Sus scrofa: one gene and its partners. The protein of the gene in region 1 purifies or fractionates together with the protein of each later gene. This does not show direct contact. Links are inferred from orthologs where the notes say so. Each region holds a gene or a part of one and is shown in the gene's direction. Other genes may lie near its edges.

Region 1 (4,241 bases):
CCGAGGAATACAGGACCAAACTTAACAGCTTTCCTACCAGAGAAGTGTGGCACGGAGGCCCACAGGTTTTGTTAAAGTCATTGTGAATAAAATAGCCCCTACGCGCCATCACAGGCATTGAATCCCCTTCCTCGCATCCCCAAATCTAAGACCTCCCTCTTTTGGAGCGCTGATTGGACGAACAGCCTGAGCGCTTTCCAGAGGCTGCTCGCCTACTGGCTCCCGATTTGGTCCATCCACCTAACCGCCCAACTCCCGCATCCCCCATTGGAGTCAAATCGTGGCCTCTTGGAGGAGCCCAACCTACCGCGCGCTTCGTGCTCATTGGCTCAGTGAGATGCTGCTCAGGAGGAGAAAGCCCGCCTCCCACATACCGATGGCCCAAGGACCGATGAGTCGGCAGCTAAGGACAGCCCCAATTGGCCTATACACTCGCCAGTCAAACTCTTCCGCTGCAAAGCTCCACAGAACCTACGGGGATAAAACATCCCGCCCCCGTTCTTCCATTGGTTGGCCGATCTCACCGCTCCCCCTTCACGAGCCCCCACCCCGAGGTCCATTCATTTCACACAATAACGGGCCCAGTTGGAGTCAGTTCAAGACCTCGTATGGGTAGGCAAGATGGTCCGCCACTTACCGGGGGTCGAGACCGATCACTCACGCTAACGCCTCGCCTGTTCCTCTGTGGTGCGGCCGGACCACAAGCCACCGCCGCCGCCGCCTTCTGCGCAACGCCAACCGCCCGCCAAAACGGATCCTTCCCTGCGCCTGCGCGACCAATCCTGGGACCCGACCCTTTCCCCGCCCATTACGCCTGCGCAAAAGGGGGCACAACTCCCGCCACTACGCAGGCGCCTTAGGTTCGCCGCTGTCTCCTGCCCGCCATTTCACGTGTTGCAAGCTCCGGGCGGAACTTCTTAGCGCGCCTGCGTAAACTCGCCATTTTACTACACATGCGCTCAGCAGGCGATCTTGCCCCCGCCCCCGTTCCGCCAAATTGTCACATGCTAGCTACTTTTTTGATACATAGTATTAAAAATGCTTTGACACAGGCGTTGAATATTCCGGACATAGCTAATTAAAAAGTTATCTCAATACCCGAAATAATTCAAATATGAATCATTGGTTGACCAGCCAATCAGTCTAGTTAAGAATAATATTACTTAGGAACCAATGGACCGGGAGGGGTTGAGACTGCGTAGAACGCCCAAACGGATGACGTTACACAGCAACGCATACGAGAGACCAATAGTGGGGGAAAGCTATGTCAAATATCCAATCAGAGCTACTCAGGGGCGGAGTCTACCAATGCCGAACGCGAGGAGGCGGGATAAAAAAGCGAGGCCGAAGGTAGGCTGGCAGACTCGTTCGTTAGATTACTCCTTTCTGCCCCCGGACGCCGCCGAGTAAGCATCGTTGTAACCTCCTCCCCACTACCGTCATGTCTAAGTCAGAGGTGAGTGAGACTCTTTTTTCATCTGCGTTTTCTTCTTCGCCGCTTGCTGAGTTTGGTAGGGTGCAGTCTGGTTTGGCTGCTTGCACCAGCCTTTTCGGCAGTTCTTCGGTCGCTGCCGGGGCCTACCCCTCCCTGAGTTCAGGTCGCCATTTTGTCCTCGTCGCCATGAGGCTGTCGTCGTGCAATCCTTGGTTATCACGCTGCTCTCGTTCTTTTTTGCAATGCTCGTGGACACATTCGGTCTGTTTTTCATCCTTGTCCTAGTGGACGACTTTCTTAAAGAGTAGCTGTAGTCCAATTTTGGCGATGCACGCCCTCCCAGTCCTTTTGTTGCGCGTGCGTCGTAGGGAGAGTAAGGGGCGCATGCGCTCGCCGCTTCCCAGCCCCCAACATACCGCCTCCCCAGATGGGGAGAAGCACGTGGCTTACAGCGACCCGAGGGAACAATAAAAGCTTCGTACGTTGCTACCTGGTGTTGCTTCTTGTAGCGGGGAGCTTGTTTGCGTTATAGCCCTATTTAACGCTTTTTTTGCCCCTACTTCTAGTCTCCCAAAGAGCCCGAACAGCTGCGGAAGCTCTTCATCGGAGGTTTGAGCTTTGAAACAACCGATGAGAGTCTGAGGAGCCATTTTGAGCAATGGGGAACGCTCACAGACTGTGTGGTAAGACTTGGAAGAGACAAAAGGCCTTAGAGCTAGTTGTTTTTCTTGGCTTATCTCGCTGTCGTTGCTGTTTGAATGCTTATGAAGATTCCTATTGACTTTATAGCTTACTTGACAAAGGAAGGTGTGGCTTCATAGCTGAAAAGCTCCCAATTGTTAGGTTTAAGGGGTGGGGGCGGTGGTCATTGAAGAGCTTCGTTTAGAGGGTTGGTAGAAAGTTTTCCATTGCCTTAGTCAAGGTAGAAAAGGCTGTAACTTCTGGTGTCTTACCATGTGCTAAATAAACATTAAAGGTAATGAGGGACCCAAACACCAAGCGCTCCAGAGGTTTCGGGTTTGTCACGTATGCCACTGTGGAGGAGGTGGATGCAGCCATGAATGCAAGGCCGCACAAGGTGGATGGAAGAGTTGTGGAACCAAAGAGGGCCGTCTCAAGAGAAGTAAGTGATGTTTTTCTTGTGTTTCATCGACTGGAAATGTTCGATTAGCAGGATTCACTCACATTAAGGGGATGTAACAGACTTAGTATTAACATGGTCTTAGGATTGTTACTATTTTCTCCCCCTTTAGGATTCTCAAAGACCTGGTGCCCACTTAACTGTGAAAAAGATTTTTGTTGGTGGCATTAAAGAAGACACTGAAGAACATCACCTAAGAGATTATTTTGAACAGTATGGGAAAATCGAAGTGATTGAAATCATGACGGACAGGGGCAGTGGCAAAAAGAGAGGTTTTGCTTTTGTAACTTTTGATGACCATGACTCCGTAGACAAGATTGTCAGTAAGTAGCAGGTGGTTGGCATTCGCTAAGAGTTCTGAAATCCATTTGTGTCCTAAACTCTGAGATGGTGTCTTACTTTCAAATTTTTCAGTTCAGAAATACCACACTGTGAATGGCCACAACTGTGAAGTGAGGAAAGCCCTATCCAAGCAAGAGATGGCTAGTGCTTCATCCAGCCAAAGAGGTGAGTTTGTTGCTTAATTAAACCTTAAGCATCATTTTGAATGATTTTAACCGGTACAATTTAACGTTAACATTTTTTTCTTCAGGTCGAAGTGGTTCTGGAAACTTTGGTGGTGGTCGTGGAGGTGGTTTTGGTGGAAATGACAACTTTGGTCGTGGGGGAAACTTTAGTGGTCGAGGTATGTATGGTTTTTTATTATTTTAACGCTTCTTAGAATTTAGGCTTAGAAGGGTGTGATTTGTATGCGATCCACATACTTCAAACCTGGCTTTTAAATTCTGTTCCAGGTGGCTTTGGTGGCAGTCGTGGTGGTGGTGGATATGGTGGCAGTGGGGATGGCTATAATGGATTTGGTAATGACGGTAAGTTTTTTTGTTTTTACTGTTAAAATTTTGTGTGTGCGTGTGTGGGTTTTTTTAGTTCGTTTTGTTGTTGGATTTTTTTGTTTTTTAAGAAACTACAGGTAAAAAGTTTGACTACTTTTAGAATAGGCTAGTAGATACTAAAACTTTAGTGCATGATAAGTTCAAGTTTGACTCTTACAGCATGTTGTGAGCCGGCCTTTAGCCATCATGCTTGCACAGAATTTGAATGTTGAATACTTGTGTCTTATTGAGAAGAATTGTATTCTTGTAGGTGGTTATGGAGGAGGCGGCCCTGGTTACTCTGGAGGAAGCAGAGGCTATGGAAGTGGTGGACAGGGTTATGGAAACCAGGGCAGTGGCTATGGCGGGAGTGGCAGCTATGACAGCTATAACAACGGAGGAGGCGGAGGCGGCTTTGGCGGTGGTAGTGGTAGGTATCCAGTGATCCAAGTACTTGGTGCAAATAGCTAGCTTAGCCATATGGGAACTTGATGCTCTCTAGGCATAATGTGTTTTACTGCATGGTACTTTCTTTTAATGGGCTTGCAATGCTACCTCCTCCTAGCTTTAAGCTGGGGCCGCCTCACTCCCAAATAGATTAAGGGGGATAGTGGTGCCTACAGTTAATCGGGATTAGGTTAGCTTTTATTTAGGCACTTAGTTGATGTATCCAGCATGTGTTTGCGGTGCCCCTGGATGGGTAACAACAGCCTTCGAGGCTAGAGACTATACTACTTGCTCTACCATGGTGAGTCAGGGGTAAATTTCTAGCTACTGGATTATTCAACTGAAT
Region 2 (4,266 bases), on another chromosome or scaffold:
GAGTGCTTTAATAATTTTTATCAGTCATTGATTCTTTGGCACATGGTAAATCATTATTATGCTGCAAGAGGAATGGTGTTGGATGGTCAATGCTTAAAAACTGTTTGAGTGAAGATTAGTAGTAAGTCATTCCCTCACTTCTTTGGCAGTGTTCCTAGCATAGCCACTTATAGGAAAATATTAAAAATATTATCTTGTTAAAGTAGGGTGGAAACATTTTTATATTAAGGTAGGTAAGGTTTTTTTTCCTACTGATAATGTTTTACTTATACTGTCATGGGTTTTTGTAAAATAACAGATTGAAGAGACTTTGTAGAACCGCTCTCCATGTTTTTGGTTGTATTTTGGATTTTCTCTTTATAAATGTTCAGAGTCAATACCAGGCCATCACTTTGGTGTATCTTTTTTTTTCCTCTTGGCCGCACCATGGTATATGGATGTTCCTGAGCCAGGGATCAAATCCAAGCCTCAGCTACGGCAACACTGGATCCTTAACCTTCTGTCCCAGGCTGGGGATGAAACCTGATCTGTCTCAAAGACAATGCCAGATCCTTAACCTGCTGCAACACAGTGGGAACTACACTTGGGTGTATATTTAGCAGTCACTGGGATTACTTGTCCAGGGGAAGCAGCAGTTGAGCAGTCAGTGATTTTTGAGAACTAAATGTGTGCTGGACACACTAGTGAATAGTGAACAAGATAAACAATATTCTCTGTTGAAACTTTGAGTGGAGCTTATGCTGAATGTTAGAATTGATAGTGGTAGTGGTATTTATGCCCAGCTAATACATGAAATGCCTGTTTCTGTAGGCCAAAAATGGTTAATATTGGCCATTTTATTGGTTCAGTGTACTGTTACTAACTAATGGTAGTTACTTGTATGTTTCTGTGGTTAAAAAGATCAGGCAGGGGAGTTCCCGTCATGGCGCAGTGGTTAACGAATCCGACTAAGAACCATGAGGTTGCGGGTTCGGTCCCTGCCCTTGCTCAGTGTGTTAACGATCCGGCGTTGCCGTGAGCTGTGGTGTAGGTTGCAGACGCGGCTCGGATCCCGCTTTGCTGTGGCTCTGGCGTAGGCCAGTAGCTACAGCTCTGATTCGACCCCTAGCCTGGGAATCTCCATATGCCGTGGGAGCTGCCCAAAGAAATAGCAAAAAGACAAAAAAAAAAAAAAAGATCAGGCAGGATTTAGGTAACAAGAGCGCTGTTTGCAGGCTTGGTTGAAAATAATGTTCTTTTGGAGTTCCCACTGTGGCACAGTGGGTTAAGAACTCAACTTCAGTGGCTTGGTTCACTGTGGAGGCACGGGTTCAACTCCCTGGCTTGGTGCAGAGAGATTAAAAGATCTGGCATTGCTACAGCTGTGACATAGGTTGCAGCTGCAGTTTGGATTTGATCCCTGGTCCAGGAACTTCCATATGCTGAGGGTGTGGCCATATTTTAAAGAAAAAAAGTAATGTTCTATTAAAACTGCCATTGTACATAGGAACCTTTTATGTCCAATGCTTAAGGCAACCAACCATATTATTGGATGTGTGTGTGTGTATATGTATTTTCTTGAAGGAAAGTGGCTGCAGTATTAAATATCAAAGAATAAAGAATTTTACTGGCCTTTTGAATTAAATTAGCAAAAAATTATTATTGTAAGGCGGTGGACAATATTTTACTATTTAATAAGGAGACTGTTTGAATCTTCCTGACTCAATTTTAGTGGTGAAGGAATTCTTTTTCTTTTTCTCTAACAGGATGTACAGTTACCCAGCACGTGTTCCTCCTCCTCCTCCTATTGCTCGGGCTGTAGTGCCCTCAAAACGCCAGCGTGTATCAGGAAACACCTCACGAAGGGGCAAAAGTGGCTTCAATTCTAAGAGTGGACAGCGGGGATCATCTTCTAAGTCTGGAAAGTGTATGTATTATTATCGCAGCTTTATGATTCTTATATTTCTTGTGTGTTGAAATAGGGAAATTAATGCAGTTAATAATCAGGTTTTGTACAAATGACTTTGGATAGTCAAAATTATAAAAGGTGACAAATAGTGATTAAAGGGCCAACTCTAAACAACCTAACGCCTTGGTAATTTGAAAAAAAGTCATTAGATTTTAGAGAGTTGAAATACCTATTCAGTGTATGAAATGTGTTAGTAAAACAGAACCGAAAATGCTTTAAAATAGAATTGAGGTCTTTGGCTTGCCTTAATGTTAAGAATGCTGCTGCTAAGGGATAGGCACATTAGATTCAGTTTTCAGCTTCCACCTAAAAGATCAAAGGTCCCTGTTACTAGGACAATTTGGTACAGGCTCCATTTCCCTCCAGGGATCTCATGTTGGTTACTGTTGTATAGTCTAGGTGAAGAGTGTGTTTGAGTCTAATCTAGATTTTATTTGTATTAAAGTAAAAGGAGATGACCTTCAGGCCATTAAGAAGGAGTTGACCCAGATAAAACAAAAAGTGGATTCTCTACTGGAAAGCCTGGAAAAAATCGAAAAGGAACAGAGCAAACAAGGAGGTAAATAATGGTCCTACACTTGTTGGGTGTAAAGTAGGGTTAGTTACCTAAGATAGTTGAAAGTGTATGTTGGAGTAGTGGGATATAAAGCAGTTGATGAATTTGAAACTTGTGGAGTTTGAATTGGGAAGGGCATTTGTGTGGGAGGATTTAGACTTGTGCTGCATCTCTGTGATCATTAGTGGGGATTGTCTACATCCTGTGGACATTACTTGCCCCTAGACAGACTTGTCCTTCTCATCCCCAGTAGAGATGAAGAATGATAAGTCAGAAGAGGAGCAGAGCAGCAGCTCCCAGAAGAAAGATGAGACTAATGTGAAGATGGAGTCTGAGGGGGGTGCAGATGACTCTGCTGAGGAGGGGGACCTACTGGATGATGATGATAATGAAGATCGGGGGGATGACCAGGTGAAAACCACGGGAAAGGAAAGAAAGAGGTGGTGGAGGGGGGATCAGGGACACATGGAGTGCCTCTAACTCCATCCTATTTGTGTCTGTTTCTCACAGCTGGAGTTGATCAAGGATGATGAAAAAGAGGCTGAGGAAGGAGAGGATGACAGAGACAGCGCCAATGGCGAGGATGACTCTTAAGCACATAGTGGGGTTTAGAAATCTTGTCCCATTATTTCTTTACCTAGGCGCTTGTCTAAGATCAAAATTTTCACCAGATCCTCTCCCCTAGTATCTTCAGCACATGCTCACTGTTCTCCCCATCCTTGTCCTTCCCATGTTCATTAATTCATATTGCCCTGCGCCTAGTCCCATTTTCACTTCTTTGACGCTCCTGGTAGTTATGTTAAGTCTTACCCTGTAATTTTTGCTTTTAATTTTGATACCTCTTTATGACTTAACAATAAAAAGGATGTATCGTTTTTATTAACTGTCTCCAAAATAATCTGTTGTTATGCAGGGAGTACAGTTCTTTACATTCATACATGAGTTAGTAGTTGCTTCCCTAACTGCAAAGGCAATCTCATTAGTTGAGTAGCACCTGAGAGCAGCTTTGAGTTAGAGGTATGTGTGTTATACCCCACATAAGAGTGCTGTGTGGGGCTGTTCAACACAAATGTAACAATGTATTTTTGTGAATGAGAGTTGGCATGTCAAATGCATCCTGTAGAAAAATAATTAGTGTAATAGTCTTAAGATTTGTTTTCTAAAGTTGATACTGTGGGTTATTTTTGTGAACAGCCTGATGTTTGGGACCTTTTTTCTCAAAATAAACAAGTCCTTATTAAACCAGGAATTTGGAGAAAAAATAAACACCCTGGTTTTTTATTTTTGTATTTTATAGTTGTTTACTTCAAATTCTTTGTTCCACAGCAGCTTCCACAAAACCCCTAGAATGTACTACTAGATAATGTTTTTCTTTGAGTCATAACTACTCTGCATACCAACATACACAACTCAAATTGTTTTGCTGGGGTGGGAGTTGAATTAAGGAGACAAGTGACTTGTGGAGTGGAGATTGTTTTGCAAATATGGCTTTTAAATACTGATGATAAAGTTTGGGAACTACATTAAGCTGTTTTTGTCGGTGCTTTGTGGTCCAGTTAGCACCCTTTTTGAGATTTTTTTATTGTGTGCTAAATTGTTCCATTTCTAAATAGAAGAGGCTCAAACATGTCAAGATTTTAGGAAAAGGTGAAACAACTGGAGAATGAAAGCTGTATTTTCTTCAATTTTAGTTCTTTTGATTGCTATTTATAGCCCTAGTTACCATGTGGATTCTGAGTCTATGCCTCAGTGTTACTGAAAA
Region 3 (4,018 bases), on another chromosome or scaffold:
ATATGGAGGTTCCCAGGCTAGGGGTCGAATTGGAGCTGTAGCCAGATCTGAGCCGCCTCTGCAACCTACACCACAGCTCACGGCAATGCCGGATCGTTAACCCACTGAGCAAGGGCAGGGACCAAACCCACAACCTCATGGTTCCTAGTCGGATTCGTTAACCACTGCGCCACGGCGGGAACTCCTCGCAGGCCCTCTTAGTGGATTGCATGAATCTGGTTTCACAGTCCCTAAACCCTGAAGCATCTTTTTTTTTGCAGGGGTGGGGTCGGGGGTGGGGTGGTAATTTAAATATTTGCCTCAGATTAGCTACTTGCACTTTCTTTCCATAAACAGACTTTTCTATACCATGAGCTAGCATGGGATCATTGGGTTTCTTAAGAATACCTATTTGAATTTTGTAGGACCTGTTTTCCGTAATTATGCTTCGCCTGAGTCTTCTCATACATTTTTACCTCCTGCTTTTACTTTTCCCATCCCTCCCAAATCAACTTCTTTTGACAAACTGTTCTCCTTCCTTCACTATAGGTTGTCCATTCATAATCTGACCCTATTCCAAGCACTCCCTTAATTTATTTAAAAAGCAACCTGCTTAATCAGTGATGAGTTTCTTTATATTTTCCTCTTCATGAATTGAGTCTCCAAAAATAAAATGGTAATAATTAATAATCCTAGAACACATAAAAAAATAATCTGCTCCACTGCCTCAGGCAGAGTAGCCACTTCAGCTACCATCCACCCTGTCGCTCAGGTGCTCTGAAATGTCTGCTTTTCCCTGGGGACTTGAGGGTCACCTTCAGAAACCTTAGGCCTTCTCAGCCCAAGTGATAATCACATGAGCAACCTCAACCTACCAATCCCTCCCTAAACCCTGCTCTCGGAACAGCCTTTGTCGGTTTCCAGGATTTGGTTCCCTCTTTCTTCCTCCTCGGCAGGAAATGACTCTCATTTTCTTCTGTCACGCTGGTCTTCAATCCAGGGATCCTTTGGGCTCACTGTTGGGGAAACTCTCCCAGATGATACCCTTAGAGACGCCGGAAAAACCCATAAGCCTTGCCCTCCCCTCCCTCGAGCAGGATTCGCCCACGTAACCCACCTTGCCACTTGCAGCGCCCTCGCACCGCAGGCCCCGGCCCGGTCCTGCGCCTGGCCGACCAATCCCCGACTCCGCTCCGGGCGCGTCACAACGGCGCCCTTGTGGCCCCACCCCCATAACCCGCCTTGGAGACTCCGCCCCGCCGCGGTCTTTACGTCCTTCCGGCTCCGTCTTGGAAGTGGGGTTGCGCCGCGTCTTTCAGGAGCGAAAGGTGGGGTTCTGCAGAGAAAACGGCCCGCGGTCACGCCGGCAGCCGGAGGCGGGGGCGGGGGCAGGGGCTCCTGGGGCTGTTGTTCCCGGGTATTTGGGCGCAGGTCTGAGGAGGGGAGGGTCAAGGCAAACCAAGGCATAAGGGCTTCCGGAAGCGCCGCGTGCGCACGACGGGCGGGAGTTGTGGACTCAGGCCTTCCGCGCGCCTGACCCCGCCCCTCGTAAGCCCCGCCCAGGGCGCGCTGCCAGAGGTTTCCATAGTGATGGTAAACAAGCCTCAACTGCCTCTGCTACAACTGCCAAGTCCCCCGCGTTCCACCCTCTTCTAGGTGCTCACAGGGTCGACCGAGGTGCCGGATGTGAAGACGAGCGGGAGCGTGGAGACTCGGAGCCCAAGGTGAGGGGTGGTAGGGGCGGCGTGTCCGAGGCCTACACACCAGAAACCGAGGCCCCTGGCATTGAGGACCGAGGAGCTGAGATTTGGGGGTCAGGGGAGGCGGGATCTGTGGTAAAGGCCTGCACCTGGGCCTACTGGAGGTTGAAGACCGTGGGGCTGAAATTTGGGGTCTGAGATCAGGAGCCACACACCTAGGGACCGACTAGGTCCTGAACGAGGACCTGGCCCACTGAGGGTGGGGCCTGCGGGACTGAGATGTGAACTTCGGGGAGGTGGGCCTGAGGCCACTGGTTTACATTCGGGGACTGGATCGCGGGGCTGAGGTTTGGTGTCAGAGGACGCAGGATCGGAAGGGAGGAAGAGCCTGGTGCGGACTCTTGGGGTGGGGAGGCAGAGCCCGAGCGCCCCTGCCTGGGGTACGGTGAAAACATGGGGCGACCGTGAGAGGGGGTTCATTTAAAAATGAAAGCAGTACTTTCACGTGGCTGCGCGCGTCAGGGAGTTGCACGGGACTGGTTGGGAACTGACTCCTCCCCCCTCCCACGTTCCCGCTCGCAGAGCCTCCACTTTCCGTCTTTGCGGCCTTTTCTTCCTCTCCGCGCCGCGTGTGTGCCCTGAGCCGGTCTGCATTTGTCTCCTGCTCTCAAAGGTAGCATGTGGATATTTTGGTTGAAACTGTTCGGTTCTTGTTGTCTTTGCCTGGTGCCCACACTTCCGCTGGGGAAACTTGGTCGGCCGTTTTTTTATTCTTCACTTATCCTTTTATCTTTGAGTGTATTTTTGCTAATTCGTGACTGCGCCCCAGAAACTGCTGGACGCTGCCGGCGCTCGCGCGGCTCCCTCTGCCTCCCAGCCCCCGCGTGGCCCACGTAAGGTGGCGCCGAGCGGTCTGGGTGACGCCGCGCGAGACGCGGGGCCCGACCGACCCTGGGCCCCGGTGTTTTACGGTTAGGAGGCCTCAAGCTCCTCCCGGTTAGTCTTTTCCTTATCAGGGGACCCCCACAGGTTCCCGCCGGACGAACCTCAGGCCCGGGAGAGCCTGCCTCCCTTCTCCGGCTACCTGCGAGCCCCGCGAGACGCCCTTCGCGGCAGTTTCCTTCCCTTGGAGGCCCTACGACAAACCAACGTGCTTCACAGCTATTTTCGAGCCAGAGAACCTGGCGTGGGGGGAAGGAGTTGCCTGCCTCGGCGGGCGGGTTGTTCAGCGGGACCGGGGCCCGAGAGCTGCTGTGGGGGTGGGGGAGGGGCCGGGTGGCCGCGGCGGCTTCCGCGGAACCGGCCGCGGCTGGCGGCGGTGGGGGGAGGGGGGCCCAGGCTCCCAAAGTTAGGGGCGGGCCTCGGTAATCGGACCCTTGTAGAGCCGGGAGAGTTAGTTGAAGGCTGCAAATAATCCTTAAACGAATGCGTCAGCGAAACTACCGGTCTTGATATTCTTACTATTACTTTTAAGTCACGTTTTTAAAAGTTAACTATTTGTGCGTTTCTAGTAAGAATGAACAAACCTCGGGTTCTCCGGTCAGACAAAAATATTAGGATCTATCAGTGAAAAGTGATGTTTTCAGTTCTAATGAAGATAAGCTCCTTCATTTTAAAATAAGTAAATTTACTAGTTAAGCAAGTTCGGCCTTTGCCTCGGGGAGCTCCTCTTAATAGTATGCGTTTCTGTAAATTGATTAGATTTATTCTTTCCGTGTTATAGTCTACTTTTTAATTTTTAACTGCTAAGCGACTGATTTTCACTTGAGTATTGTTAACGTACCTCCCTTATAAAGTAACTCAAGTAAAAATGAGAATGGTTTAAGGGGAGGGATTGATTAAACAGGAGGAGAGTTAGTCCTTTGATAAGGTCAAAACTGGGGAAGACAACAAAAGACAAAAAGACAAAAAACAAAAAGACAAAAAAAAAAAAAACTGGGGAAGAGTGGAGACACACGTGGTGCGTGCCCTTTGGAGTAGTGCCTGGTGGGGCTACAGAAGTGGGAGGGGGGCCCCCCATCGACAGAGGTGACTTTCCCATCAACCTCCCCTCTCCAGTCTGAGTTTTGGCTCTCAGACTCTTTGTGGAATCACACTGATTGGCCCTCAGTAGTCCAGACACAGAGCTAGGTGTTTTACACTTTTCTAATCACATGCCCGCGATCAGTCCATAAGGAGATATTACTGCTATCCCCATCATACAGATGTGTCCTAGAACACATCTGGGACTGTTCTTAAGTCTGTCTGACGTGGGACATCCCTCTGCCAGGACCCCTGCCTCCAGTTAGTTGCTCTGAACAAGGGTTCTTGTGGAAGACAAACGATTGGGCAGAGGGAGA
Region 4 (3,500 bases), on another chromosome or scaffold:
TTTTTGTATTGACTGGGTTGATATGTGACCTTTGCTCTTTTTTCTGATTATAAAAGTAAAAGTAAAAAAAGAAATGAAAATACCCAAGAAATAAGGTGTTAGAGAAAGTCTCCCGTAATTCCAAGAAGTTATTTATTGGAATGAATAGTATCTGAAGTTTCCTATGTGTGATGAAGTCTGGGGTGTGTTCTGGGGAATGTAACTGGGCCACAGGACACAATTCAGGAAATGGTTGTAAATCCATTTTGATTTTATCATTGTACAGTTTTCTAAGTATATTGTTCTTTTCTGTCTTTTTGTTCCCTGACCCTCTAGTTTTCTGTTTATCTTTCATACTGTTTTATAACTAATCTTTGGGTAATTTCCTTTATTTTACCCTTTGTACTTAATTCAGTGGAGAGTAGTAGTATTAACAGTTACGCAAATTGTATCTTCACTTCCACTGTATTAAGATGCAACCATCTCAGAAACTCAAAATAGCAGTCATCATTTTTTGGCAAACTTTTTTGCCAGAGAGCTAAAGGCTTACTTAGTCTAGTTCTTCTGGAATGGTAACCTCTTTCACCAAGGCTTTTGGTTTCATTAGTGCCTCTAAATTAGTTCTACGTCTAGCTTGACCCAGATTTTAGTTTTTTGGGTTTTTATTTTTGTTTGTTTTTGCTTTTTAGGGCCATACCCAAGGCATATGGAGATTCCCAGGCTAGGGGTTCAATCGGAGCTGCAGCTGCCAGCCTACACCGCAGCCACAGCAACACAGGATCTGAGCCTGTTACCTAACACTACAGCTCACGGCACAATGCCAGGTCCTTAACCCACTGAACAAGGCTTAGGGATCGAACCTGCAACCTCATGGTTCCTAGTCGGATTTGTTTCTTCTGTGCCACAACAGGAACTCCAGATTTCAGTTTTTATTATGGACGTTTCCTTCCAGTTTTCCTTTTCTTTCAGTTTGTTTATTTAATACTGAGAAATTTTCAAAGTTTTATTTCCTTTTATCTGGCAACATATGGATGATTTTTTAAAATTATATATTTTAGTAAACAAGTAGGTAAGTAATGTTAAAGCATATAAGCAGCTAAAGTATATCAAGGAAATCATCGCCATAGCCATTTAAATAAAACATTTTTTATTCCTATCATTTCATCTGGTTTTTTTTGGAAGTATTTTGTTTGATACGTACTTGAAAATTTTAGAATTCTATTTTAAGTGTATAGTGTGAAATTCTAAATTTCTTTTGCATTGATTAAACATAGTGGTTACTCTTTATATATTGTTATGTTGCCTGTGGCTTATCAATGTCTGATTTCATCTCCAAGGAACCTGAATGATCAGTCTCAGGTGTTTTTTTCCTCTGGGAAAAAAATCTTCAGATAGATAATACTGAAATATGAAGTCAGATTTTTTTTTTTTTTTTTTTAAGATAAAGTAAGTTTGAGTCATTTTTCTGTAGTGGAAGAGTGAATGTTAATAAAACCAAACTAAAATGAGAGGCTGCGACAAGTTTAAAAATAAACATTTTATGTTACGGCAGACGTGAGGGAACTCTGTGAGTTCATGAAACAAGGCATGTTTGACCTTAAATTGTTCAGTTTTTTAGATTGAGATCAGTTGTTCTGAGTTTGGGGTGGTTGTGGGGTGTCTGGTTCTTTTCTTCCTTTCAGTGTGACAGCTATGAAATTCGCCCTGGTAAACACCTTGGAGTGTGCATTTCTGTGGCAAACAACAGGCTTTTTGTTGGATCAATTCCGAAGAATAAGACTAAAGAAAACATTCTGGAAGAATTCAGTAAAGTCACAGGTAAAACAAAAATGTATTTAGAAATTAGTTTTGGAAAATCTGTGGTACTATTTATAAGTGCGAAAAAAATGGGTATCTTTTTGTTTGTTTTGTCTTTTGGTCTTTTTAGGGCCGTACTTGCGGCATATGGAGGTTCCCAGGCTAGAGGTCCAGTTGGAGCTCTAGCCACCGGCCTAGGCCACAGCCACAGCAACGCCAGGTCCAAGCCATGCCTGTGACCTATACCACAGCTCACGGCAATGCCAGATCCTTAACCCACTGAGCGAGGCCAGGGATCAAACCTGCAACCTCATGGTCGGACCCATTTCTGCTGTGCTACGACGGGAACTCCAAAAACGTTATCTTAAGCTAAGTATTCACATATCTATTCAGTGTCTAAATTGCTTCCTTTGTGCTTTTTAGTGGTTTGGGTGAAGCAGCTTTCTTTATATTCTGAATTTCTTGGAGTGTCCCCTTCACTCCTTTGCCTTAACCGAATCTTGGCTTTTGCCAGGGCCTCTGTCATAGCCTTCAGCTTTCCCCCCTGACATTCAGTGTGCTTTAGGGCCAAGATGATGAGAGTTCTTATCCTCATCCGTCCTCTTACCTTGTCTAGATCAGATTTCTCTGAGTTTCCAATTCTAAATTCATGGGGTTGATTGAGAAGAATATTTTATATCGCAGAGGTATGTACAACAAAATTTGACAAAATCGTATTTCACTTTATATGATTTAGTTTGATATTTCCTGTTCCACTTCATTTTGTTAAAATGCTGATGGAGATCCACTAATGCTAGCTGCATTTTTATCTCCTTTTTATAGCTGCACCTGCAGCATATGGAAGTTTCTGGGCCAGGGGTGGTCCATCAGAGCCACAGCTGAGGCTTATGCCACAGCAACAGCAACCTTGGATCCAGGCTGCTTCTGCAACCTACGCTGCAGCTTGTGGCAACGCTGGAGCCTTAACCCAGTGAGCCAGGGCCGGGATTGAACCCACATCCGCATGGAGACAGTGTTGGGTCCTTAATCCTCTGAGTCACAATGGGAATTCCACTAACTTCATTTAAAAAACATGTTTTAGGAGTTCCCCTTGTGGCTTAGGGGGTTAAGAACCTGACATAGCGTTCCCGTCGTGGCGCAGTGGTTAACGAATCCACCTGCATGAGGTTGCAGGTTCTATCCCTGCCCTCACTTAGTGGGTTAAGGATCCGGCATTGCCATGAACTGTGGTGTAGGTTGCAGACGCGGTTCAGATCCCGCATTGCTGTAGCTCTGGCGTAGGCTGGTGGCTACAGCTCTGATTGGACCTCTAGCCTGGGAACCTCCATATGCCGCAGGAGCGGCCCTAGAAAAGGCAAAAAGACCAAAAAAAAAGGAACCTGACATAGTGTCCATGAGTTTGCTGGTTCGATCCCTGGCCTCACTTAGTGGGTTAAAGGATCTGGCACTGGAGTTCCTGTTGTGGCTCAGTGGTTAACGAATCCGACTAGGAACCATGAGGTTGCAGGTTCGAGCTCTGGCCTTGCTCAGTGGGTTAAGGATCTAGTGTTGCTGTGAGCTGTGGTGTAGGTCGCAGACGCGGCTCAGATCCTATGTTGCTGTGGCTCTGGTGTAGACTGGCAGCTACAGCTCCGATCAGACCCCTAGCCTGGGAATCTCCATATGCTGCGGGTGCGGCCATAGAAAAAGACAAAAAAAAAAAAATCTGTCATTGCTGTGAGCTG
Region 5 (3,500 bases), on another chromosome or scaffold:
GCCTGCACAGCCACAGCAACACGAGATCCGAGCTGAGTCTGTGACCTACACCACAGTCATGGCAATGCGGATCCTTCCACTGAGCAAGGCCAGGGATGGAAGCTGGGTTCTCATGGATGCTAGTCAGATTCGTTTCTGCTGAGCCATGATGGGAACTCCTGAAATACAAATATTTATATTCCTTTGCCATCATGGGAAGGCTTTATGAAAAAAACGTAGTTTTCTTTGGATTGATGCTTTGTTTTGGTCTAAGCCAGAGGTTAGCACATTTTGACATACTGGCCAAAAGCTTATTTATGTAAATTTTTGTTGGAACACAGCCGTGCTTCTTTGTTAACCTGTTGTCTCTGCCTGCTTTCCAGCTACACTAGCAGAGTTGAGTAGTTGTAACAGAGATCATAGGATCCACAGAGCCTAAAATATTTTCTCTCTGGTACTGTATAGAAAAAATTTGCCAAACCTTACTGCTTTAGTGATACAGGGTTATAGGGGTGAAATTGGTTAAATTGCATGCTGAGGAAAAATAATTGCTGATTTTGTTCTGAGTAATGACTCATGACTGTCATTCGTGATTCCAATAGAAGTATTATGGATTCTAGGACCATGAAAAAGATGCTCTTAAAAATAAATAGGAAGGATTAATGAATTATCATTTTTATGGAGTGATTACTACTATATAAACCATCAAACATCTCCCTGTTGAGTAATAATTAAAAACTCCTACAAATCGAGGTAAAATTTTTATGACTATCAAAGGAAAGCCCATAGGAATGAACAGACAAAATTAGAGCTATGTACATTTATTCTAGGTATTCCTGTTTTCAAATTGGGGGTTTGGTTTGAGGCCATTTAAAAACATATTTTTTTAGAATAAGTTTTTAAAAATCATTTATAACTAAAGTTCTTTTTAAACAGAATTCATTTTTTGTATTTGGGTACATAACATGAAATTTTGTAATTGATCATTTCACAGTTATTCTGTAAATTGAAGACTATTAGCATCATGATTGACAGTAAAATGTGTAGACTTCTCTTGGTCTGGTCACTTAGAATTATCTCGGGTATTTATTTCATTCTTTGTCCTTCAGTAGAATAGGATATGTATTAACATAATTAGGAAATATGCTTTCACCTTTCTAATATTTTGAGTAATTATACATTTAAGAATAGGATTTGGGAGTTCCCGTCATGGCTCAGTGGTTAATGAATCCAACTAGGAACCATGAGGTTGCAGATTTGATCCCCGGCCTTGCTCAGTGGGTTAAGGATCCCTAGTTGCCGAGAGCTATGGTGTAGGTCGCAGACAAGGCTTGGATCTGGCGTTGCTTGCTGTGGCTCTGGCGTAGGCCAGTGGCTACAGCTCCCATTGGACCCCTAGCCTGGGAACCTCCATATGCCATGGCTGCGGCCCTAAAAGGACAAAAGACAACAACAACAAAAAAAAGAATAGGATTTGTATGATTCAGAGTATTCCTTTTTTTTTTTTTTTTTTGGCTTTTTAGGCATGTGGAAGTTTCCAGGCTAGGGGTCAAATCAGATCTGTAGCTGTCGGACTATGCCACAGACAAAGCAACGCAGGATACAAGCCGCGTCTGCGGGATCTACACCACATCTCATGGCAACACCAGATCCCTGACGCACTGAGCGAGGCCAGGGATCAAACCTGTATCCTCATGGGTACTAGTCGGTTTCATTTCTGCTGTGCCACAATGGAAACTTCCAGAGTATTCACATTTAGCTGATATTTTTCCATATTTTATTACAATAAAATTCTCTTTCCTCAAATATAAATTTGAAAGTTTATATTGCAGAAATAAAATGAACTCATTTTTGGAGTTGGTTTTGATTCTGGGATTGCTTTGGAATCCTCAAGAGTTTTTTTTTTTTTTTTTAAACTACACTTTAATTTTTTTACAGGGTGAAAGTTTACACAAAAACTGATGGACTAGTTGCTATTCATCCTAAATCTGTTAACGTGGAGCAAACAGAGTTTCACTACAACTGGCTTATCTATCACCTGAAGATGAGAACAAGTAGTGTAAGTGAATGTATAAAATAAGGCTCTGAATAACAGGCTTGTACTTTTTAAATTGTATAGTTTTTATATTTATAAACAAAATCTGTTCTCTTAAAAAAATTTTGTTTCTGACATGACGTAACTTGAAGCAGATAACTTGTACTTACAATGTGCAGGTCTGCCATGATGGATCTTTTTATTTTAATTGGGAAGGTTATTTGATTTGTTTACTTTTTTTTCAGAGCATGCTTTCAAGAAATACTGATATTTTGATATACAGAAATCTACATTGTACAAAGAATTTTGTTTGCCTGTCAATACACCTTATATGTATTGGTCAGAATATTAAGTGGGAGTCTGTTTATAGATAAATAGAAAACTTCAGCTACATTGGTGTTTTATCACTCAAAATATTTTGTTTAAAGAATAGTGCTTTTTTTATATTGAAGCAAAATATAAAATTCCTTTGTTCTCTGAAGTGATGAAGAATGGCTTGTTTAAAATAGTATTTCTTCAATATTACTCTTTGTAATTACGCTAACAAGATAATACCTGTTTTAGAAGGAATGCACTAACAGATTGATACTAGTGATGTTACTGAGTTAATGTGGTGGTAATCCTTTCAGACACCTTAATGTATTAATTTGCCTTGATTCTCATTATAGATATACTTGTATGACTGCACAGAAGTTTCCCCATACTGTCTCTTGTTTTTTGGAGGTGATATTTCCATCCAGAAGGATAGTGATCAGGAAACTATTGCTGTAGATGAATGGATTATCTTTCAGTCTCCGGCAAGAATTGCCCATCTCGTTAAGGTGACTGACTTTACATGATTGTCTTTGATTCTGCATATAAGTTAGTATGTGGTCTTGTGATCTAGTTACATTAAACATTTGCTTTATTTCAGCAGAGCAGTTGTGTTGAGAAATAGATTCATAGTTTTTTTAATTGTTTTTTGAAATAATTACGAACCATTTTCAGTGGCTCAATATGATGGAATTTTGAATTTTTTTACTCAAGTCATCTACTCATAATTACACTTTAGTTAGTTGCCAACTAAATATTTCAGTCTTTTGTATAATAGCTTACTTATGAAATTCCTTGAACCTGCTAAAGTCACTTTTTATTACATTGTTTGCTAGTATATCTTCCCTTATTGAACATGTGCAATTTTTCCAACTTTAGGAATTAAGAAAGGAACTAGATATCCTTCTGCAAGAGAAGATTGAAAGCCCCCATCCTGTAGACTGGAAGGACACTAAATCCAGAGACTGTGCAGTACTCTCAGCTATTATAGACTTGATCAAAACACAGGAGAAAGCAACTCCCAGGAATTTGCCGTCACGATTCCAGGATGGATATTATAGCTGACAGCTTTTCTGTGGTGGTCTGAAAAGTCAATTTGACAGCCATTTTCCATCATGGTTTAACTTTTGGCTTGATGCCAAACCCTAGGACATGAATACTTTTCATGTGTAAG
Region 6 (4,244 bases), on another chromosome or scaffold:
ACATTATAGAGTGTCTGCTATTTCAGGGTCTGGTCCATGAAACCTGTCACTGGTGGGAAAATGATAAAGGGGAGCCTCAGGTAGTGAAACCACTTTGAGGGGGTCAGAGTCAGAACTACCTGTTAAGGAACTCTATCTACTCCCTAAAAGGGAGCTCCAGTGAGGGTCTCCGCTTACAACGCAGCCCTATTTCTCCCAGAAAAGCAGTAATCCCAGCGAGTCGTGGGGTCAATCTGCCACCTTTCTAACTTTCTCAGAATTAGGACTCCACTCCTTATGAACAACTGCAAGTCTGGAGAGTTATTTTCTAAGTTAATTAAAGATACCAATGCGATTAAAGCTGAGAGAGCAGGAGATCATTTCTAAAACTTGGTGACTACACCCAGCACACAGTCTAGTTCCTTTCTCCATTTGGGACAAATGGCTTCTGCTCACCATCCTCCCTCCCAGATGCACCCCGACGTCTACTGCCTGCCTACTCTTCAGTCTGCAGCCACCTCCGCCAGGGCACCGGTCCCACCTTTGGGTGACTGCCCCTGGGACCAGGACGAGACTCTTGGGGTGGCCACACCCCAGGGATGAGACCTCCTCTGGTGACCGTCTCTCAAGGGACTGGATGTGGCTTCCTTGAGGGGATGATACCCCAAGGTCAGGCTGAGGTCTCCTCGGGGTGACCAGCTCCTGGGGATGGACGCGGATTCCTCAGGTGACTGACTCCTGGAGACGGGAAGGGGCCTTCTCTGGGTGACCAGTCCACGGGGGCGCGAGAGGGCCTCCTTGGAATGACCGGCGCAGGGGATGACAATGGGGCTTTCTTATGGCCATCGGCGACGGGCCGGGCCTCCTCCTCGAGGCGACCAGCTTTCAGGATGAGAACTCTTCAGGGTGATCGGATCCCGAGGACACAACGTGGCCTCCTCGGGGTGAGCGGTTCGCAGCGGGGCCGGGAAAGGGATTGTCCGACTGGCTTCCGCGGACAAGACCGTCTGGGGTGACCGTACCCCAGGGATGCGAGGAGGCTTCCCCGGTGACAGCTCTAGGGGTCATAAAGCGGAGGAGGTGAGGCCGCCGCCCCGAGGCCTCCCGGAAGCTCGCGCAGACCCCGCGCACCGCCTGGGCCGGGCGCCCCTCCCGCGGGCCGGGGATCGTGTGGGTAGGGGTCTCAGGCTCCGGCTGCCCGCCCCGCCCCGCGGCACCGCCTCTTCCGCCGGCCCGCGGACGTCAGCCGTCGCCGCCCCGCCCCGCCCCGCCCCGCCGCTGCCGCCGCCGCCGCCCGCGCGAGGCCGCCTCCGCCTGGCCTGGGCCTGGAGCGGCGCACGGCGCAGGTCCCTCCCCGCCATGGCCCTGGGAGGCGGCAGCACATGGCGGCCGCAGCGGCCATGAGCGCGCCCGCGGCCCGGCCCGGCCCCCCCTAGAGCCCGCCCCCGGCCCCGGCCCCGGCTCGCGCCACGGCCCCGCCGCCCCCGGCCCCGCCGCCCCGCCGCCCCGCGCCCGCCGCCGCCGCCGCCATGGGCGTGCAGGGCTTCCAGGACTACATCGAGAAGCACTGCCCGAGCGCCGTGGTGCCGGTGGAGCTGCAGAAGCTGGCCCGGGGCAGCCTGGTGGGCGGCGGGCGGCAGCGGCCCCCGCACACGCCGCTGCGCCTGCTGGTGGACGCCGACAACTGCCTGCACCGCCTCTACGGCGGCTTCTACACCGACTGGGTGAGCGGCGGCCAGTGGAACCACATGCTCGGCTACCTGGCCGCGCTAGCCAAGGCCTGCTTCGGCGGCAACATCGAGCTCTTCGTCTTCTTCAACGGCGCGCTCGAGAAGGCGCGGCTGCACGAATGGGTCAAGCGGCAGGGCAACGAGCGCCAGACGGCGCAGCAGATCGTCAGCCATGTCCAGAACAAGGGCACCCCGCCGCCCAAGGTCTGGTTCCTGCCACCCGTCTGCATGGCGCACTGCATCCGCCTGGCGCTCATCCGCTTCCACGTCAAGGTGCGGCCCGCTGAGAGGGCGGGCGGGCTGGCCGGGGTCGGTAGGGGCCGACGGGCCGGCCAGGGGCAGGGTTGGAAGCCCGGGCCGGCCGGGGTCGCTTCAATTCAGGGTCAGGGTGGGCCGGGATCTGGAGTCCGCGGTCAGAGTTGGACTGGAGTCTGGAGTGGGCGGGTGGTCTGGGGTCCGGGCCTGGGTCTGAGTCTGGAGCCCGGGGCCGAGTCCGAGTCTGGAATCTGCGTTTGGGCCGGGGTTGGGATCTGGGGTCTCTGCGGGCCAGGAGCTGAAGTTGGAGCCGGGCTGGGGCCGGGGCCCCGGTGGGGGTCTGGGCCCCGGGGACCGCAGGTTCCTCTCCCCTCCTGGTCTGTCTGACGGACCTGCTGCAAAATGGACGCGCGGCCTGGAGTCCGGCCGGCGGCTGCGAGTGCCCGGGATCTGGGGGCCTGGGTTGCCCCAGGCGGTAGCTGCAAGCTCGGAGGGCACAGTGCCGCCCTTGCTGAGATCCCGCGTATTCCTCCACTCTTTAAAGCTCCTAACGTCAACTTTCATGAGACATTCGTTTTCGAATTTCGCAAGACTTGAACAGCAACAGGTTTTTTTGTGGGAGCAGGTGGGCTGGCTGGCAACAGGAAGGGGTCTCCATCCATTGAGGGTGGATTGAAGTTCTGCCTACTGCGGTCACTCCGGCTCAGCTGGGGGCAGTGACCTGGGCAAGGCCTGAGGAATTGGTCTCTTCTTGAGAACTCAGGCCTGGGTCCAGGTTCCCTGTAAGATGGTAGTTTTTCGAGAAATTGGTTTTTGTGTGCATTAGATTTCAAAGAGCCATAAAGTTTGACATGGAATTCTGTTAGTTCTGTACTGAGAGTCTGCGTGAAAAAGTCTTTGGTTCTGTGTATGTGATGTGAAACGAGTAGCTTAAAAGTCAGGGCGAAGAGAATGTGAATCAGAGTTTCCAGGATTTATTTCTCTGCACAGTGAAGAGTCTGCCACTTTGGGCTGTGCACTCAGGTAATCAGAGCTTCGACTGTCCAGCACTCTGCTGTCCATTTGGCAGAAGGCTCCTCCCTGAACTCAGGCCAAGGAGTGCTTCAGGACCCAGCAGTGATGGCAGAGATTACATGCAAATCAATGACCCTTGACTTGAGTTTCGATTGCTTCCTTTTCCACAGTGGTTCTTTTAAAAATTTTGGGGGGGGCTGTTTTGGTTTTCTGACTGCTGCCACTCTGCCTTCCAATGTGTTTGTCCTTCCTTTATTTCTGCTTGAAACTGTGCCTGATCCCAAAGTTTGTGAAATTCGAACTTCCTGACTGCTCTGCCTGTGCTGAGATGGTGGGGGTTAAGCCTAAAGTGATAGCGGAAGTCCCACCCGCCTCCTGTTGCAATTGGTGACAGGGCTGCTAAGTCTGCCGGTTGAGGCTGCTGCGAGAGCGTGGATTGGCCTGTGAGTGTGGCAGAGACCTAGCCTGCGTCCCTGGGGAAGTTCGGGTGAGAGCCGGGGACTGCCGCTGCTCTGCCCTGGAGCCTGTGCTCCCTGGAAAGTAAAACAGTACTGATTCCCAGGTGTGGTCCACCTTCAGATGATACCTTAAGAGGGTTAACAGTTGTCCAGAGATGGAAATTACTATTGAAAAGACTACGAGCTGTCTAGTAACGTGGCTTTCAGAAGAACACCTGAAATATTACTTAGGATTAGATTCAGTGTGTATACATGGTCGCTGTATCTGTTGAAAGGATGGCTGAATTCTTTTTTTTTTTTTTTTTTTTAATCTTTCCTAGGGCTGCTCCCTCGGCATATGGAGGTTCCCAGGCTAGGGATCTAACCTGAGCTGTAGCCGCCGGCCGATGCCAGAGCCACAGCAACGCGGGATCCAAGCCACGTCTGCAACCTACACCACAGCTCACAGCAACGCCGGATCCCCAACCCACTGAACAATGCCAGGGATCAAACCCGCAACCTCATCGTTCCTAGTTGGATTTGTCAACCACTGAGCCACGACGGGAACTCCCTGAATTCTTTTTTCATTGTAAAATTAGATTGTAAAATTTCTTGATATTTGTGCCTCTGCTCACTGCTCACTTTTACCTACTAAGTGCTCAGAATTTTGACCAGATCTTCCACTTAGGTTTCTGAATTCAAGGTAATTTTGTCTACAATTATTTTGCTTCAGATAGGCTTTTAACTTCTGATGTAGAATTACAATGTAGTACAGTTGTACACTTTAATATAGCAAGGACTCAATTCCCTGGTGGACACTTACCTGGCA
Region 7 (4,183 bases), on another chromosome or scaffold:
CCTAGGCAGACCTGGAGACAGACGCCCGAGGGCAGGCCAGGGCCCCCACCTGGACCCCTCTGCCCTGTTTCCTTTGTGGGAAAATTCAGCTTGTCACGGCCTCGGAGAAGGTGCACCTCCACGCTGCCCCGCTGGGCTTCCTTCGGCCACTCACTGCCCACTGGTGGCCCCCGCCTGGGTGCAGGCTCTCCCTGCTGGACAGGCAGTTCCCAGAGCAGGGAACCACTGGGAACACCCGGGGGCACCCAGGTCTGACCCCGTGTTTGGTGGAGAGACCAGGGCAGGAGTGGGCCCCAGCTGGTCCCTGCTGCCCCACCCCCCTCCCCCTAACTCCTCTCTGGCACATTGAATGTCCTTCCCCAGTCCTTGGTGGCCTCCAGATGGTCTAGGAGGGCAGTTCAGCTGTGGCTGCACGTGACAGACAGACGATGGATGGTGGGTCCCAGAGCTGTGCTCAGTGGCCCTGCCTGCCTGCAGCCAGCAGTGCTTGGCAGCTGCCTGGGTCGCCAGCTAATGGCCCAGGCTTGGCCTTGGCTGGGTGTGACCAGGCAGCCTCAGCCGCAGCCCAGCTCCATGGGAACAGCTTCTCTGCTCTACGGAGCCCACCTCTCCTGGGCCTGCAGCAAGGGAGGCCTGGAGCCCTCTTCACGGGGAACTTCCAGCCCCCAGCCCCTGGGGCCTGTCCTGTCCCTAGAGACTGCAGTCCTGAAGCCCCTGCTACGTGTCTCCAAGTCCCCTGACTCAAGCATGCCCCACCATAGCCCTCAAGCCCACGGTCTCTAAGTAATGTGCCCCCTTAGCAAGCTCAGCACCCCCACTTAGCAAGCTCAGCACCCCCAGTCGGGGCCCCCCCTTACCCAGGCTTTCTGGGCAGCAGAGCTAATGTCGCCAAGGGGAGGGTGACTCTCTCATCACTCCTTTCCCCCACCTGCTCCTTAAGCATGCACCCACAGCAACCAGGGACTCTCGCATCCGTGCTGACCCTTGCCCACAGGGGCGCTCACTGCTTTGGGGCATCCACATTCGGAGGGTGCCGGGGTGGGGAGACCCGGAGACCAGCAGGCCGGGTGCAGGCCTGGCCAAGCGGGGCCGGACCCGACACTGCTCAGGCGGGCGGCGGCCCACTGTTGGGGCCCAGCACCCAAGGGCGGCCGACGCCAAAACTCTCTCCCTCCTCTTCCTCAATCTCGCTCTCGCTCTCTCCTAGCCAGTCCATCTCCCTCCCTCTTTCTTTTTTTTTTTTTTTCTTTTTTTTTTTTTTTGCAAAAGGAGGGGAGAGGGGGTAAAAAAATGCTGCACTGTGCGGCGAGGCCGGTGAGTGAGCGGCGCGGGGCCAATCAGCGCTCGCCGTTTCGAAAGTTGCCTTTTATGGCTCGAGCCGCCGCGACTGCGCCCCATAAAACCCGGCGGCGCGACGCACAGCCACAGCCGAGACCGCGTCCACTCCGCCAGCACAGGCCCCTCGCCCTTGCCGCTCCGCCTTCGCCGCCGGTCTACACCGCTACCAGGTAGGGTCCCCGCACCGGCCGGGCCGCTGATGCGCTGGGCCCGTGCCTCTTGTGGGCAGGTGGCCCCCTCCGCCCCGGCCCCGTGGACAGCCGGCCGGGTGCCGGGAATGGACTCATGCGCTCCTCGTTCGGGGCCCGGGCTGCGCTCGGGGAGCGCTCCCAGAGTGTTTCTTTGGGAGCCCTAGCGGCGGCGATTCTTTGTCCGAGCGGGCCGATCGCTCCGCCGGCGGGAGAGCAGTGCAGCCGGGCGGCGGGGCGGGTGGGTGGGCGCGGCGCGGTGGCCGAGCCGGGTGGGGGCTGGGACGCCAGTGCGCGTGCGTGTGCGCCGTAGGCCCAGGAGGCGAGGGCGGGGCGGGCGGCCGGAAGGGGTGGGGTCGCCGCGGCGCGAGAGCGCCTGCGCGCACTTCCTCGCGGAGCCACGGGCCGCCCCGGGTGTGGTCGCCGCGCGCCCGCCGAGTGGCGCTTTTTGGGCGGGGCGGGGCTGGCGCCCAGTGGGGAGGGGGCGGAGGCCTGGCTTCCTGCCGCGCGCCTCGGGGCCGCCTCCGACCAGCGTTTGCCTTTTATGGTAATAACGCGGCCGGCCGGCTTCCTTTGTCCCCAATCTGGGCGCGTGCCGGCGCCCCCTGGCGGCTCGAACGCGCGTCGCGCCGGAAGTGAGTAGGGCGGAGGCGGCCGCACCCGGCCTCCGGCTCACGGTCCTGCTGCCCCTGCAGTTCGCCATGGATGACGATATTGCTGCGCTCGTGGTCGACAACGGCTCCGGCATGTGCAAGGCCGGCTTTGCGGGCGACGATGCTCCCCGGGCCGTCTTCCCCTCCATCGTGGGGCGCCCCCGACACCAGGTAGGGCGCCGCCCTCGGGTCTGACTTGGTGGGTGGGGTCTTGGTAGCAGGTGGAGGGAAGGGGGAGGCTTTCTGCGTGGGGGCCGGTGGGGCCGGGCCCGGGCTGAAGGCGCCTCGCCCCTCCTTCCGCAGGGCGTGATGGTGGGCATGGGCCAGAAGGACTCCTACGTGGGGGACGAGGCCCAGAGCAAGAGAGGCATCCTGACCCTCAAGTACCCCATCGAGCACGGCATCGTCACCAACTGGGACGACATGGAGAAGATCTGGCACCACACCTTCTACAACGAGCTGCGTGTGGCCCCCGAGGAGCACCCCGTGCTGCTGACCGAGGCCCCCCTGAACCCCAAAGCCAACCGTGAGAAGATGACCCAGGTCAGTGGCCCACTGGGCTCTCTCGGGCGGCCGCCCCCTCCTCTCTTGCCCCTCTTTGCCACGCCCTTTCTCACTTGTTCTTTCTTCTGCCATTTTCCTAGGACTTTTCTTCTCTGACCTGAGTCTCCTTTGGAACTCTGCAGGTTCTATTTGCTTTTCCCCAGCTGGAGTCTTTCTCGTGTTTGCCTTTCTGACTAGGTGTTAAAAGCATAAGGTGCTGTGGGTGTATAGGTACTAACACTGGCTCGTGTGACAAAGCCGACGAGGCTGCCGTAAAGGGGCCTCGGAGTGTGTATCCCGTAGGTGCACAGTAGGTCTGACGTGACTCCCCGACCTGGGGTCCCCAGCACACTTAGCCGTGTTCCTTGCACTCTCTGCATGTCCCCAGTCCGGCCTGACTGCCCCCGGCGGCTTCCCGAGGGTGACAGCGTCCCTCCCTCCCTCCAGATCATGTTCGAGACCTTCAACACCCCAGCCATGTACGTGGCCATCCAGGCCGTGCTGTCCCTGTACGCCTCTGGCCGCACCACTGGCATCGTGATGGACTCCGGAGACGGGGTCACCCACACGGTGCCCATCTACGAGGGGTACGCCCTGCCCCACGCCATCCTGCGTCTGGACCTGGCTGGCCGGGACCTGACCGACTACCTCATGAAGATCCTGACGGAGCGGGGCTACAGCTTCACCACCACGGCCGAGCGGGAGATCGTGCGGGACATCAAGGAGAAGCTGTGCTACGTCGCCCTGGACTTCGAGCAGGAGATGGCCACTGCCGCGTCCTCCTCCTCCCTGGAGAAGAGCTACGAGCTGCCCGACGGCCAGGTCATCACCATCGGCAACGAGCGCTTCCGCTGCCCCGAGGCGCTCTTCCAGCCCTCCTTCCTGGGTGAGGACGCAGCCCTGGCCCTGCCTTCCCCCCGCCCCCCCTGGCTCACCCGGTGGTGGCCACAGCGGAAGCTCAGTCGGGCTTCTCTCCCCCCTCAGGCATGGAATCCTGCGGCATCCACGAAACTACCTTCAACTCCATCATGAAGTGCGACGTCGACATCCGCAAGGACCTCTACGCCAACACGGTGCTGTCGGGTGGCACCACCATGTACCCAGGCATCGCCGACAGGATGCAGAAGGAGATCACGGCCCTGGCGCCCAGCACGATGAAGATCAAGGTGAGTGCCCAGCCTGAGCTGGCCGGGTGCGGCCGGGCGGCGTGGGTGCCACGGCAGCCGCCGCGGAGCGGGTGCTCTGGGGACCAGGGCTCTGACCGCCACCCGCCTCACTGTCCCCTTCTCCTTCCAGATCATCGCGCCTCCAGAGCGCAAGTACTCCGTGTGGATCGGCGGCTCCATCCTGGCCTCGCTGTCCACCTTCCAGCAGATGTGGATCAGCAAGCAGGAGTACGACGAGTCCGGCCCCTCCATCGTCCACCGCAAATGCTTCTAGGCGGACTGTTAGTTGCATTCC

Evidence for each region.
Region 2: the proteins of HNRNPA1 (region 1) and HNRNPC purify together in Homo sapiens (affinity purification with mass spectrometry; 8 studies listed by BioGRID and IntAct, with this or other methods). This does not show direct contact. The link is inferred for Sus scrofa from reciprocal best matches to the Homo sapiens genes HNRNPA1 and HNRNPC.
Region 3: the proteins of HNRNPA1 (region 1) and HNRNPF purify together in Homo sapiens (affinity purification with mass spectrometry; 3 studies listed by BioGRID, with this or other methods). This does not show direct contact. The link is inferred for Sus scrofa from reciprocal best matches to the Homo sapiens genes HNRNPA1 and HNRNPF.
Region 4: the proteins of HNRNPA1 (region 1) and HNRNPR purify together in Homo sapiens (affinity purification with mass spectrometry; 7 studies listed by BioGRID and IntAct, counting the BioPlex papers as one, with this or other methods). This does not show direct contact. The link is inferred for Sus scrofa from reciprocal best matches to the Homo sapiens genes HNRNPA1 and HNRNPR.
Region 5: the proteins of HNRNPA1 (region 1) and DHX36 purify together in Homo sapiens (affinity purification with mass spectrometry; 3 studies listed by BioGRID and IntAct, with this or other methods). This does not show direct contact. The link is inferred for Sus scrofa from reciprocal best matches to the Homo sapiens genes HNRNPA1 and DHX36.
Region 6: the proteins of HNRNPA1 (region 1) and FAM120A purify together in Homo sapiens (affinity purification with mass spectrometry; 4 studies listed by BioGRID and IntAct, counting the BioPlex papers as one, with this or other methods). This does not show direct contact. The link is inferred for Sus scrofa from reciprocal best matches to the Homo sapiens genes HNRNPA1 and FAM120A.
Region 7: the proteins of HNRNPA1 (region 1) and ACTB fractionate together in Homo sapiens (co-fractionation; 3 studies listed by BioGRID and IntAct, with this or other methods). This does not show direct contact. The link is inferred for Sus scrofa from reciprocal best matches to the Homo sapiens genes HNRNPA1 and ACTB.

Annotation. Positions count from the first base shown.
Region 1 is NC_010447.5:19,483,736-19,487,976, forward strand, and holds the start of HNRNPA1 (heterogeneous nuclear ribonucleoprotein A1), read left to right. Parts: upstream 1-1,441; coding exon 1,442-1,456; intron 1,457-2,001; coding exon 2,002-2,118; intron 2,119-2,411; coding exon 2,412-2,558; intron 2,559-2,688; coding exon 2,689-2,899; intron 2,900-2,990; coding exon 2,991-3,083; intron 3,084-3,168; coding exon 3,169-3,261; intron 3,262-3,370; coding exon 3,371-3,445; intron 3,446-3,719; coding exon of another isoform or gene 3,720-3,878; intron 3,879-4,241. UniProt on the Homo sapiens protein: Involved in the packaging of pre-mRNA into hnRNP particles, transport of poly(A) mRNA from the nucleus to the cytoplasm and modulation of splice site selection.
Region 2 is NC_010449.5:77,966,145-77,970,410, forward strand, and holds the end of HNRNPC (heterogeneous nuclear ribonucleoproteins C1/C2), read left to right. Parts: intron 1-1,745; coding exon 1,746-1,906; intron 1,907-2,393; coding exon 2,394-2,507; intron 2,508-2,754; coding exon 2,755-2,915; intron 2,916-3,014; coding exon 3,015-3,098; coding exon of another isoform or gene 3,099-3,116; 3' UTR 3,117-3,766; downstream 3,767-4,266. UniProt on the Homo sapiens protein: Binds pre-mRNA and nucleates the assembly of 40S hnRNP particles. Interacts with poly-U tracts in the 3'-UTR or 5'-UTR of mRNA and modulates the stability and the level of translation of bound mRNA molecules. Single HNRNPC tetramers bind 230-240 nucleotides.
Region 3 is NC_010456.5:61,665,146-61,669,163, reverse strand, and holds the start of HNRNPF (heterogeneous nuclear ribonucleoprotein F), read left to right. Parts: upstream 1-1,218; 5' UTR 1,219-1,307; intron 1,308-1,635; exon of another isoform or gene 1,636-1,703; intron 1,704-2,261; exon of another isoform or gene 2,262-2,352; intron 2,353-4,018.
Region 4 is NC_010448.4:81,215,417-81,218,916, reverse strand, and holds part of HNRNPR (heterogeneous nuclear ribonucleoprotein R), read left to right. Parts: intron 1-1,661; coding exon 1,662-1,797; intron 1,798-3,500. UniProt on the Homo sapiens protein: Component of ribonucleosomes, which are complexes of at least 20 other different heterogeneous nuclear ribonucleoproteins (hnRNP). hnRNP play an important role in processing of precursor mRNA in the nucleus.
Region 5 is NC_010455.5:94,301,834-94,305,333, reverse strand, and holds part of DHX36 (ATP-dependent RNA helicase DHX36), read left to right. Parts: intron 1-1,917; coding exon 1,918-2,038; intron 2,039-2,682; coding exon 2,683-2,835; intron 2,836-3,205; coding exon 3,206-3,391; 3' UTR 3,392-3,500.
Region 6 is NC_010445.4:42,860,150-42,864,393, forward strand, and holds the start of FAM120A (constitutive coactivator of PPAR-gamma-like protein 1), read left to right. Parts: upstream 1-1,444; 5' UTR 1,445-1,508; coding exon 1,509-1,982; intron 1,983-4,244. UniProt on the Homo sapiens protein: Component of the oxidative stress-induced survival signaling. May regulate the activation of SRC family protein kinases. May act as a scaffolding protein enabling SRC family protein kinases to phosphorylate and activate PI3-kinase.
Region 7 is NC_010445.4:4,087,584-4,091,766, reverse strand, and holds the start of ACTB (actin, cytoplasmic 1), read left to right. Parts: upstream 1-1,383; 5' UTR 1,384-1,508; intron 1,509-2,221; 5' UTR 2,222-2,227; coding exon 2,228-2,350; intron 2,351-2,482; coding exon 2,483-2,722; intron 2,723-3,169; coding exon 3,170-3,608; intron 3,609-3,706; coding exon 3,707-3,888; intron 3,889-4,018; coding exon 4,019-4,162; 3' UTR 4,163-4,169; exon of another isoform or gene 4,170-4,183. UniProt on the Homo sapiens protein: Actin is a highly conserved protein that polymerizes to produce filaments that form cross-linked networks in the cytoplasm of cells.